Linked DNA regions of Saccharomyces cerevisiae S288C. Changing the gene in region 1 together with any one later gene gives a genetic interaction. Each region holds a gene or a part of one and is shown on either strand. Other genes may lie near its edges.

Region 1 (2,451 bases):
ACAAAATTGTCTATGCGGCAGTGAAATTCTGCATCGCAATGACATAGCTTAGAGCAGTCAGAAAAGTGATTGTACATTCATGTGATAATTTGACGCGGAGACTGTGTAAAGTCTTTGACATTTTGTAAATGAAAGGTATACATTAAATTACATTTTTCACCTAAATTTTTAGTCATATATTTGACTTTCATCTTCTATGATATTGGTATTTTTAAACTATCATAGATAGTCATTATTTAACCATTCCAAAATGAAAGAAAACGGAAATGGTGCTTGGAGCGCTGTCTTTCTATATGACACTGATGAAGGTGCTTAGCGTCAACGTTTTATGGGAACAATCTCTTGGATATCTTTACATATGGACTGCTAAAGAAGAGGTTAATGAGGAAGCGCTCACGCTTCTATAGAAGGAAGAATGGGAGGCCTTTATTTGCTTACCCGTGTTTTCGAAATATTCCAGACATATTACGTACATATTAATATAAAAATATCCAACCTGTTCAAGGCAGAAGCCCGATTTTAGTCAATTCCTCCTCAAGAGTGCCTTTTGCTTCAAATCTATGCAATTGACTCTCAGTACCCCAGAATTTACCATTGACAACTATCGTTGGTAAGTTTCTGCTACCAACAACTTTTTGGAACGCAATTCTCCATTTTTCCTGTTCGTTTCTTGGAAGTGAACCAATATCAAAAACGAAAACTTTGTCCTGTACATTCAACTTATTCCAAATGGAATTAGCATAGACGCAGTCGGGGCACCAGCTGGCGGATAACTGGAAATATGGATGAGATTTGATCATCTCTTCAGCTTTAGTAACAAAGGCAGACATTATTTGATGTTGTACTTATTCTATAAATATGCGATATTTACTCCTCTTCTGGCCAAACTGGGAATACATAATTTTACAACACTTACGTCTGCTTAAATAGCAAACCTGTGTCGATTTTTTTTACAAACTGTGGCATCAACACTTAATTCACCATATTGTTAAATTTCTCGCGGGAAACAAAAAAGCAACGCATTTTTTCTATTGGATAACTTAGAAGTTACAAAGCTAATATACAAACACTAGGATCAAATTGGACTATAAAAAATTTGATGAGATGTACCTAGATAGTCCTTACCCGAAAATAAATACCTTTCAATGATGGGCGAATCTTATTCACTTGAAATCATTTAGAGTTCTTCTTACCTTTTTCCAACTCCTTTCTAGTACCTCTCAACAACTCCAAATGCCCGACTTTACTCGCAACTAATCTTTCAGTGGTTTCGGTAAGGGAAGAGCTCTTTTTCAATTTCTTCAGATGTTGCAAAGATTTCTTTTTTGATTTCAATTGCAATGGGGCAGCTTTTCTCAAATTTTTTTGTTTCTTTGTGACCCTACGGGGGTCCTTGGCTTTCTTAGTAACTTTAAGTGGTTTTTGAGGCATATTGTAGCTTATGGACTTTATGAATACTAGTTATCTTTACAAAAGGTGCAAGTAATAATACCATCTCATCGTTAATAAACTGATGTATACTACTATTTTCCAAAAGAACCTGAAAAATTCAATACCTTCGTAAAACGTGACGACTTTCATAATCTCAGAAATTGATTTGAAGTAACAATGAAGAGCGCTTTAATTTAAAAGTTAGTGTAGTGGTGTTATAGAAGAATATTACACCTGCTAATATCATTCATTCGTGAAATATAAGCACCTTCTTTCTTTCCAATTTTGGTCTCCTCAAAAAGCAGGTTAATGACACAATATAATTTCATTATAGATGCTTCAGCTTTTGAAAAGGGTCTAGGCAACATCAAGAGGTGGTGCTCGGACTGTACAGAAGCTGTGACTTTGAACTTTTATATTCCAACATTCACATTAAATGAATTGGATTTCCTTCAACAAAGGCGTAAAAGTTTTGCAGCTCGAGAATCCTTGAAGTTTATCGATAGATTAGATGATTCTAAATTTGCTAATTTGAAAGTTTTTATCGAATTTCCCGAAGTTTTAGACATTATTTTATGGTCAGATGTAATGGAACATAATGATAGTTCTGGAAAGATTAATATTGCAAAATTGCCTAAGAGATTAAAGAATTTGTTGAAAAGTTGTATTTACAAATGCTACCTAGAAGGAAATGAGGGGCTACATTGGTTTTTAATTAGTGAAGATCCTCAAATCCGGGAAATGGCCATGCAATGCAATATTCCTTCCTGTTCAATTGTTGATGTAGATTCAATCTTGTCCAAGGACATGAATGATAAATCATTTAGAGAAAGTGAAAAATTCAATAATATGATGCTAAAAAATGGCACTAAGGAAGAAAGCGAAAACGGTAGAGAAATTATCAGGACTAACTTCAATAAAACAGTTTACGCTTCTAGAGGTACAGGCGAATTGTGGTCCCCATAAAAACAAGCATTTTTCAAATATTTCAATATCATTTTTGATAGATGGCTTTATCTT
Region 2 (7,371 bases), on another chromosome or scaffold:
TAGTAGAAAATGAATATGTTTTCACAGAACAAAATTTAAAGAAATATCAACAACGTAAAAAGGAGTTGGAAGCAGATCCTGAAAAGCAAAGGCAAGCTTACCTGAAGAAGCAAGAACGTGAAGAGGAACTTAAGAAGAAGCAGCAGCAGCAAAAACGTAGAAATAATAGAAAAAAGTTTAATCACAGAGTTATGACAGATAGGGATGGTAGAGATAGATATATACCATATGTGAAGACGATTCCCAAAAAAACCGCCATTGTGGGTACAGTTTGCCACGAATGTCAGGTTATGCCATCAATGAATGATCCTAATTATCACAAGATTGTTGAACAGAGAAGAAATATTGTCAAGCTTAATAATAAGGAAAGGATCACAACTTTGGATGAAACCGTTGGTGTTACGATGAGCCACACAGGTATGTCCATGAGGTCAGACAACTCGAATTTCTTGAAAGTGGGGCGTGAGAAGGCCAAGAGCAATATTAAATCTATTCGTATGCCAAAGAAGGAAATCTTGGATTACTTGTTCAAGTTATTTGATGAGTATGACTACTGGTCCTTGAAGGGGTTGAAGGAACGTACTAGGCAACCTGAAGCACATTTAAAGGAGTGTTTGGATAAAGTTGCCACTCTAGTGAAGAAGGGCCCATATGCATTCAAATACACTTTAAGGCCAGAGTATAAAAAGTTGAAAGAGGAGGAGAGAAAGGCAACCTTAGGTGAACTAGCTGATGAGCAAACAGGTTCCGCTGGAGACAATGCGCAAGGAGACGCGGAGGCTGACTTGGAAGATGAAATAGAAATGGAAGATGTCGTTTAGTTGACAATCAGATTTTCTTCATTAATTTTATATTTACGCAGTTTCTTGAGCCCTATATATACTCTTTTTAAAATTTACAGTTTTGTTTAATTTATTATGTCTCTATTAGTTTTGGCTATCTGTACATATGTATTTAGATGCATTGAAGTTCCGTAAAAGAATGCTTGCTGGAATAAGAGACTGATGGAGAACTTGCCATAACCGCGCAGATACTTTAAAGCACAAGATTGAATTTGTGCTCCATGCAGCCAATGAAAGAAACTCTGAGATTGCTGTGTGCCCTTGCACCGACCAGTGTGAACGTTGTTGTCCATATGGGGCATGCACTCATTATAGAGAAGGAGACATTGAAACATCAGATATTTGTATTAATTTGCTACTGTCCGAGGAAGGTATGATATGCACTTCATTTGCTGTACTAAATGACACTTTTCTTTTTCTAACTCTATTATTTTCTTCACTCTTCAGAGCATGAGAATTCGGTGTAGCTTTTTCTACAGTGGGCTCATCGTCATACGTTGTTGTTACTGTTGCAGTCCTGATCCACCTCCTTCTTCTTGTGTACTTTTTATATGTGTCCGTTGCAGAGGGATTATTCCAGGTGTTATCATAATATATGAAACCTTCATCTGCACCTGGCTTAACTTTTGTCTTAGCAGCAGAAGCAGGAAGTTGAATGATCCCATCATTTGTTAGGTCAAGCATCCAATCTTTATCGTGCCATTCCCAAGCCATTCCCGACTGCTCCTCTGGTAAAGTAAACACTTCTGGGCTTGGAGAAGTATTTAGGAATTCATCTGTCCAAGATGCGCGCTCATAACTCAACATAGTTGATGTCCATCCGATGCCAAGCCAGCGGCGCTGGTTTTCAAACAGAGCAACCTTGAAAAGTACAGTCTTTTTAGTGTTAGATGTGTTCCCTACCTCATTCCAAACAAAGGACCTTATTTTCTTATTGACAGAAGCAAACAAGCGCCTATTATTATCTGGTCCACCAAGGTCTAATCCTGTTATGAAAAATACAAGTAATCTAACAACGCGAAATTTCCACAAGTATCTTCTCATTCTTCGGATTAGTTTAGAATGGTACGTAAGCACATACAGACCCCCTATTAACATTAAATAGTTTGGAGATAGCACAAACACTGTTAGAAAAATATAAACTGGGGATAGGAAGGCAATGGTAAATAACAGTCTTCTAACATCCTGAGCGCTCAAAATCGTAATAGGAGATAACACAGCGCTAGATTTCATAGAAACCCTATCCATAACGTGTATTATATCATCCAATGAAGGGCAAGATGCCATTGTTTCTTGAACGTGCTTGTCAATTAAAAGATATACCCATATTATACCAACGATCATTAAATGTCCAAAATACCTTGTAATAAATCCAAAATATAGAACACAAACCGTAAATAAGAATATTCCAAGCAAGTTTGCAGAGACATTGTCATTGGACCAAGTGATGATACTTAGAAAGTTATCCACAACAATTAAATATGGGTATAACCTCACTAATGACCTGGAGACTGTTTTAGGTGTTGAAGTCAATAAAGGAGATGATAAAATAGCCTCTTGATCTTCCTCATAAGTTTGGGCGCTTAATTTACCTCTTCGTTTTCTTAAAGCGCTACGAATGTGTTTATTCTTGCTTTCTGTAGACTCAGCTACTGTACTTGAGGTTGGCTCTAGATTTTCATTATTTATTTCGCTCATACTATCAAATAAAGGGAAACCAAGGCTTGACAACCAGGGAAGAATACCAAATTTAAAAGTGCCGCTTTATTGATAATAATTTTGGTGAGCTTCTCTTATACCGTAAATTTCAACATATATTTTTCTACCAGGAAAAGTGAAATACGGCCGCTAAGCATCTGAAAAAAAAAAAAGAGCAAGGCGCTGCTATTGATAATAGTTCCTTTGAAGCAGTGCTACGCAGGTCTGAAAGGCTCGTAACTTTAACTTACTTAATGATTAAGAAAGAAATTATTTGACTCAACAAATTCCTAGAAGTTTTTTATAAAAATATAATGAGGCATAATAAACTTCAAGAGATATCGATTACCCACTCCACATTACATTCAAGTTTGACTGGGATATATAGTCTACCATAACTATGTTATTATATATTTTGAAAGTTTCACTAAGGAATGCAGGATGAACATTCAATTAGTATCGACGCATATCCTCTTAATATTGTTCGCTCTGGCAGCCGGATAGGAACTGCCATCTATATATACTGTTGGCATTCTGCAAACCTTATACCTGTGATTTTCATTATAAGCAATTAGGAAAGGTAATGGTAATAAGAGGGGTCATCTGCGTTTCTCTGGATGTATTCTTTCTCTATTAAAAGCTGAATGCTTCGTTTCAAAATGCTCGGTGTAAGACTGAGCCGAGACTGTGTCCGTTTCGTAGTTCTTTCAAGTAATTGCTGATGGCTTAGCTTACCTTCTGTTTTCATGATACGAACAATAATAGCACTAAGCTCCATAACAATTTCATTATCATAAGTGTCCACGGAACTTGCGGTTGCCAAATTATCTGATTTCTGAGATGGTAGAGGGCATGCAATAACCGGCACTTTCACTTTCCTGTTTGGAGAAGAAAAGAAATAATTAACTGAAAATTTCATATTTCCTGAACTGGATGATTTTTTCAAAATCTTACATCTGGGTATTGTCGACATTGACATTACAAGAGACTTAACGTCATCTATGGGAATATGAGTTAGTTCATATATTTCCCCCAACGTTAATTCTTCATAATCTTCAAATAGAAGGAAAATCACTCCAGCGTAAACAGAAAAACTTATTTCGTAGTAACCGCTATTAAATTGGCAGCCAATTTCAATTACACTTAGATGATGAGCCCACTTTAGCACTCTTTCTTTGTATTTTAAGCTGTAATAGCCCTCAAAGCCAGCTAAAATTTGTGACATTCTAGGAGGTAGTGAAATACCTTCATCAATTGGATTAGTACTCTGAAAGGGCCAGCTCGTTCTCGTCAAAACTTGTGGTGCAAAACTCAAATATTCTATGCTGTTGATTGTTGAGTGTTGGAATGCTTGATACATTTCAGAGGATAAAGATATATCTCGCAGCATTATCTCCAATTTTGAGGTAAAAAAAGTTCCTAGAACCTTCTTTATCATTTGCACCATCCATTTTTCAATTTCCACTAAAGACCTCTGCTGCAGTAATCTTCTGGAGAGTTGTTTTTTGTAAATCTTTTCAAATATATCCTTCTCAGTTAGGAGTCCGATTAATTTGGTACTATCAAGCAAATCTTGCTTGATCTTCACTATTTCAGCATCTTTTTCCTTGGTTCGTTTCATACAATGGTCCACGTAGGTAGAAAGATACTCAGATGGTAATGCTCCTTCTTTAGAGAAATACATTGAGAAAACATCGCCAAGTATTGCATTAGATACATCCCCGGTCAAATTATTAAGACGAACAGAACCAAAATCAATACTTTCCAAAAACGAGTGTTGACTGCGATATAGCTCTACAATTTCCGAAGACCAAGTAATCGCATTCTGCCCTTTTTTGCGGTTACCTTCATTAAAAGGAATATTTATGGCATTTTTATTGATGTAAGATTTAATAGATTCAATGACAGTAACGCGATATTTTTCCTCGCTTGACAAGTCATAAATTTCTTGGAGTAGCTTTCCATTTGAAATTACCATTGCTTCGTGCGTTAGATCTTCAATAATATCACTCAACTTTCCCCATATAAGGACATTTTCTAATACAGTCTTCAACTTATTATGAGAATCCACATTTAGAAAAGAGGAGTCTAGCATACTTTCAAACTGCCTTAACTTCCTAATCTTTTCCAGGCTCTCAATTGGCGTTAATAATTCAATATCAATAGCTTTATTGTAGTATTCTTCTGTCGCGCTAATCAAAACCGGCTCAAAATCGGTTAAGAAAAAACTATCTCTATTGTCATGTAATGTCTCCATCATTCCTATTAGTACTTTCCACAAACTAGTATGTTCGGAGTCGACAGATCCTAAATTACGAATCCTTTCTATATCAGATATCAGTGCTGAGATGAGAGAAGATGAGCATTTTTGCAATATTTCGATTCGGAAAAGATCGAGGCACATGTCGTATACCTCCATGCATCTATTTGGTTTGCAATAAACTTTGTCCATATACATCATTAAGTCTCCCGTTATTTTAAAACAATGGCATTGCACCTCCCATAACCGTGCCATAGTTCCAAGAAACTCATAATCATGAGTATTGTCCTTGACTATCGTTTCCCTCAAAAGCGCTAATTTTTGGATTAAATAATCTTTCAATCTGTTATAAAGTATTGGCCCCTTTTTATTTAAAACGATAGTATAAATGGTCTTGTACACTTGTTCGAAGGAAAGGTCGGCCATGTCATCGCTGTATATATGATCAATGGCATATTTAACTGTTTCCCAGGATTCCTCAAAAGATTCTTCTGACAAACCGAGTTTTTCTGGGACACTTATCTTTATTTTCTTATTAGTTATCATATAGTAGCCCTAATTTCAGATTTGAGTTAGCCCGTTTAGAGTATACTTTATATGAATCAGATTAGAATACGCACACTCGAACTTATTTAATGAAGTTGCGATGCGCCAACTCCGGGTAGCTATTTAGTGATAAATCAAGAATCCACTTTGTATTTTAATAGCAACAAGCATTCATAACATATTTCTCCGATAATACGAAAATTTAGTAAAAAAACCACAGGTAATATGTCATCATCAGACATCTTTGATGTACTAAACATTAAGCAAAAATCCAGAAGTCCAACTAATGGCCAGGTATCAGTGCCTTCGTCCTCGGCAGCCAACCGGCCCAAGCCTCAAGTGACGGGCATGCAAAGAGAACTATTTAACCTGCTAGGAGAGAACCAACCCCCCGTTGTTATTAAGTCTGGAAATAACTTTAAAGAAAAAATGCTTTCGACGTCCAAGCCATCTCCTTGGTCATTTGTAGAGTTCAAAGCTAATAACTCTGTGACTCTGCGTCATTGGGTCAAGGGTTCCAAAGAATTAATAGGAGACACACCAAAAGAATCGCCATATTCTAAGTTCAATCAGCATTTATCTATTCCATCATTCACCAAGGAGGAGTACGAGGCTTTTATGAATGAAAACGAAGGAACTCAAAAAAGCGTAGAAAGTGAAAAAAACCATAACGAAAACTTTACTAATGAAAAGAAGGATGAAAGTAAAAATAGCTGGTCTTTTGAAGAAATAGAATACCTGTTCAATCTCTGCAAAAAATACGATTTACGTTGGTTCCTGATCTTTGACAGATACAGTTATAATAATTCAAGAACACTTGAAGATCTCAAAGAAAAATTTTATTACACCTGTAGGAATTATTTTAAAGCAAGTGATCCTAGCAATCCGCTTTTATCTTCTTTGAATTTTTCAGCTGAAAAGGAGATAGAGAGAAAAAAGTATTTACAGCGTCTTCTTTCTCGTTCTGCAGCAGAAATTGCTGAAGAAGAGGCACTCGTAGTAGAGTCCAAAAAATTTGAAATGGCTGCCAAGAGAACACTTGCAGAAAGAGAATCATTACTCCGACTGTTGGACTCGCCACATTCAGATCAGACAATTACACAATACCTTACCTCTCAGGGAATGTCTCAGTTATATAACGCGCTTCTAGCAGATAAAACTAGAAAGCGGAAGCACGATTTGAACATCCCTGAAAATCCTTGGATGAAGCAGCAACAGCAGTTTGCCCAACATAGGCAACTTCAACAACTGAATGTAAAAAAGTCAGAAGTCAAGGAAAATCTCTCCCCCAAGAAAACCAAAAGACAAAGACAGGAAATGCAAACGGCGCTCAAAAGAAAGTCAGAAAGCGCATATGCAGAACAATTGCTGAAAGATTTCAATTCAGATGAAAGGAAGGCTTTAGGTGTGATTACGCATGGTGAGAAGCTATCGCCGGGTGTATACTTAAGATCTACAAAATTATCGACCTTCAAACCTGCGCTGCAGAACAAAATTCTCGCCATTCTTCAAGAATTATCGTTACCTTCTCGCCCTGTGATGCCCTCATTTGATGTAATGGAAAGACAAGAGGAGCTTTTGAAAAAAATCAATACGCTTATCGATTTAAAAAAACACGTTGACAAATACGAAGCTGGTATGTCAATCACCAAGTGAACATCAGAAAATGCTTTTTGCTAGCACGTATGTGATTAAAATTTTTGCGTAAAATAGACTGTTTTATAATATTTGGTGTACAACATGGGACCTTCAGAGGTACTTTCGGAAATCACGCAAATATTATGCACTAGTAACCCTCAATCTCTAAATAACTTATATTGTCATCTGTAAGGCAGCAAAATCCAAGATGGGCAATGTATATAGGTATATAGTTTAGTATTGTCATCTCATAGAATATCAACTGCATAATATACATGTATATATAATTTCCCATTCATTTAGAGGCTTCTTTTTTCGTCTGTATCGCTGAACCTTATGCCGGTTAAATCTAACAAAATTTTTTTGAACTGGAGGAACTAAAAAAAA

The links. A genetic interaction does not mean that the proteins touch.
Region 2: mutations in GRX8 (region 1) and CUL3 together harm fitness more than expected from each alone (negative genetic interaction), as found in Saccharomyces cerevisiae (one large-scale study listed by BioGRID).

Annotation. Positions count from the first base shown.
Region 1 is NC_001144.5:852,441-854,891, reverse strand, and holds GRX8 (glutathione-disulfide reductase GRX8), read right to left. Parts: upstream 831-2,451; coding exon 501-830; downstream 1-500. Other genes in the region: YLR363W-A (uncharacterized protein), read right to left, coding at 1,174-1,431; NMD4 (Nmd4p), read left to right, coding at 1,741-2,397. UniProt on the Saccharomyces cerevisiae protein: Glutathione-dependent oxidoreductase with lower activity compared to the other members of the glutaredoxin family.
Region 2 is NC_001139.9:498,107-505,477, reverse strand, and holds CUL3 (cullin CUL3), read right to left. Parts: upstream 5,347-7,371; coding exon 3,112-5,346; downstream 1-3,111. Other genes in the region: transcription factor IIF subunit TFG2, read left to right, coding at 1-821; PEX31 (peroxisome biogenesis protein), read right to left, coding at 1,152-2,540; SWC4 (Swc4p), read left to right, coding at 5,572-7,002. UniProt on the Saccharomyces cerevisiae protein: As part of the CRL3 E3 ubiquitin ligase complex; polyubiquitylates monoubiquitylated RNA polymerase II subunit RPO21 to trigger its proteolysis; plays a role in global genomic repair.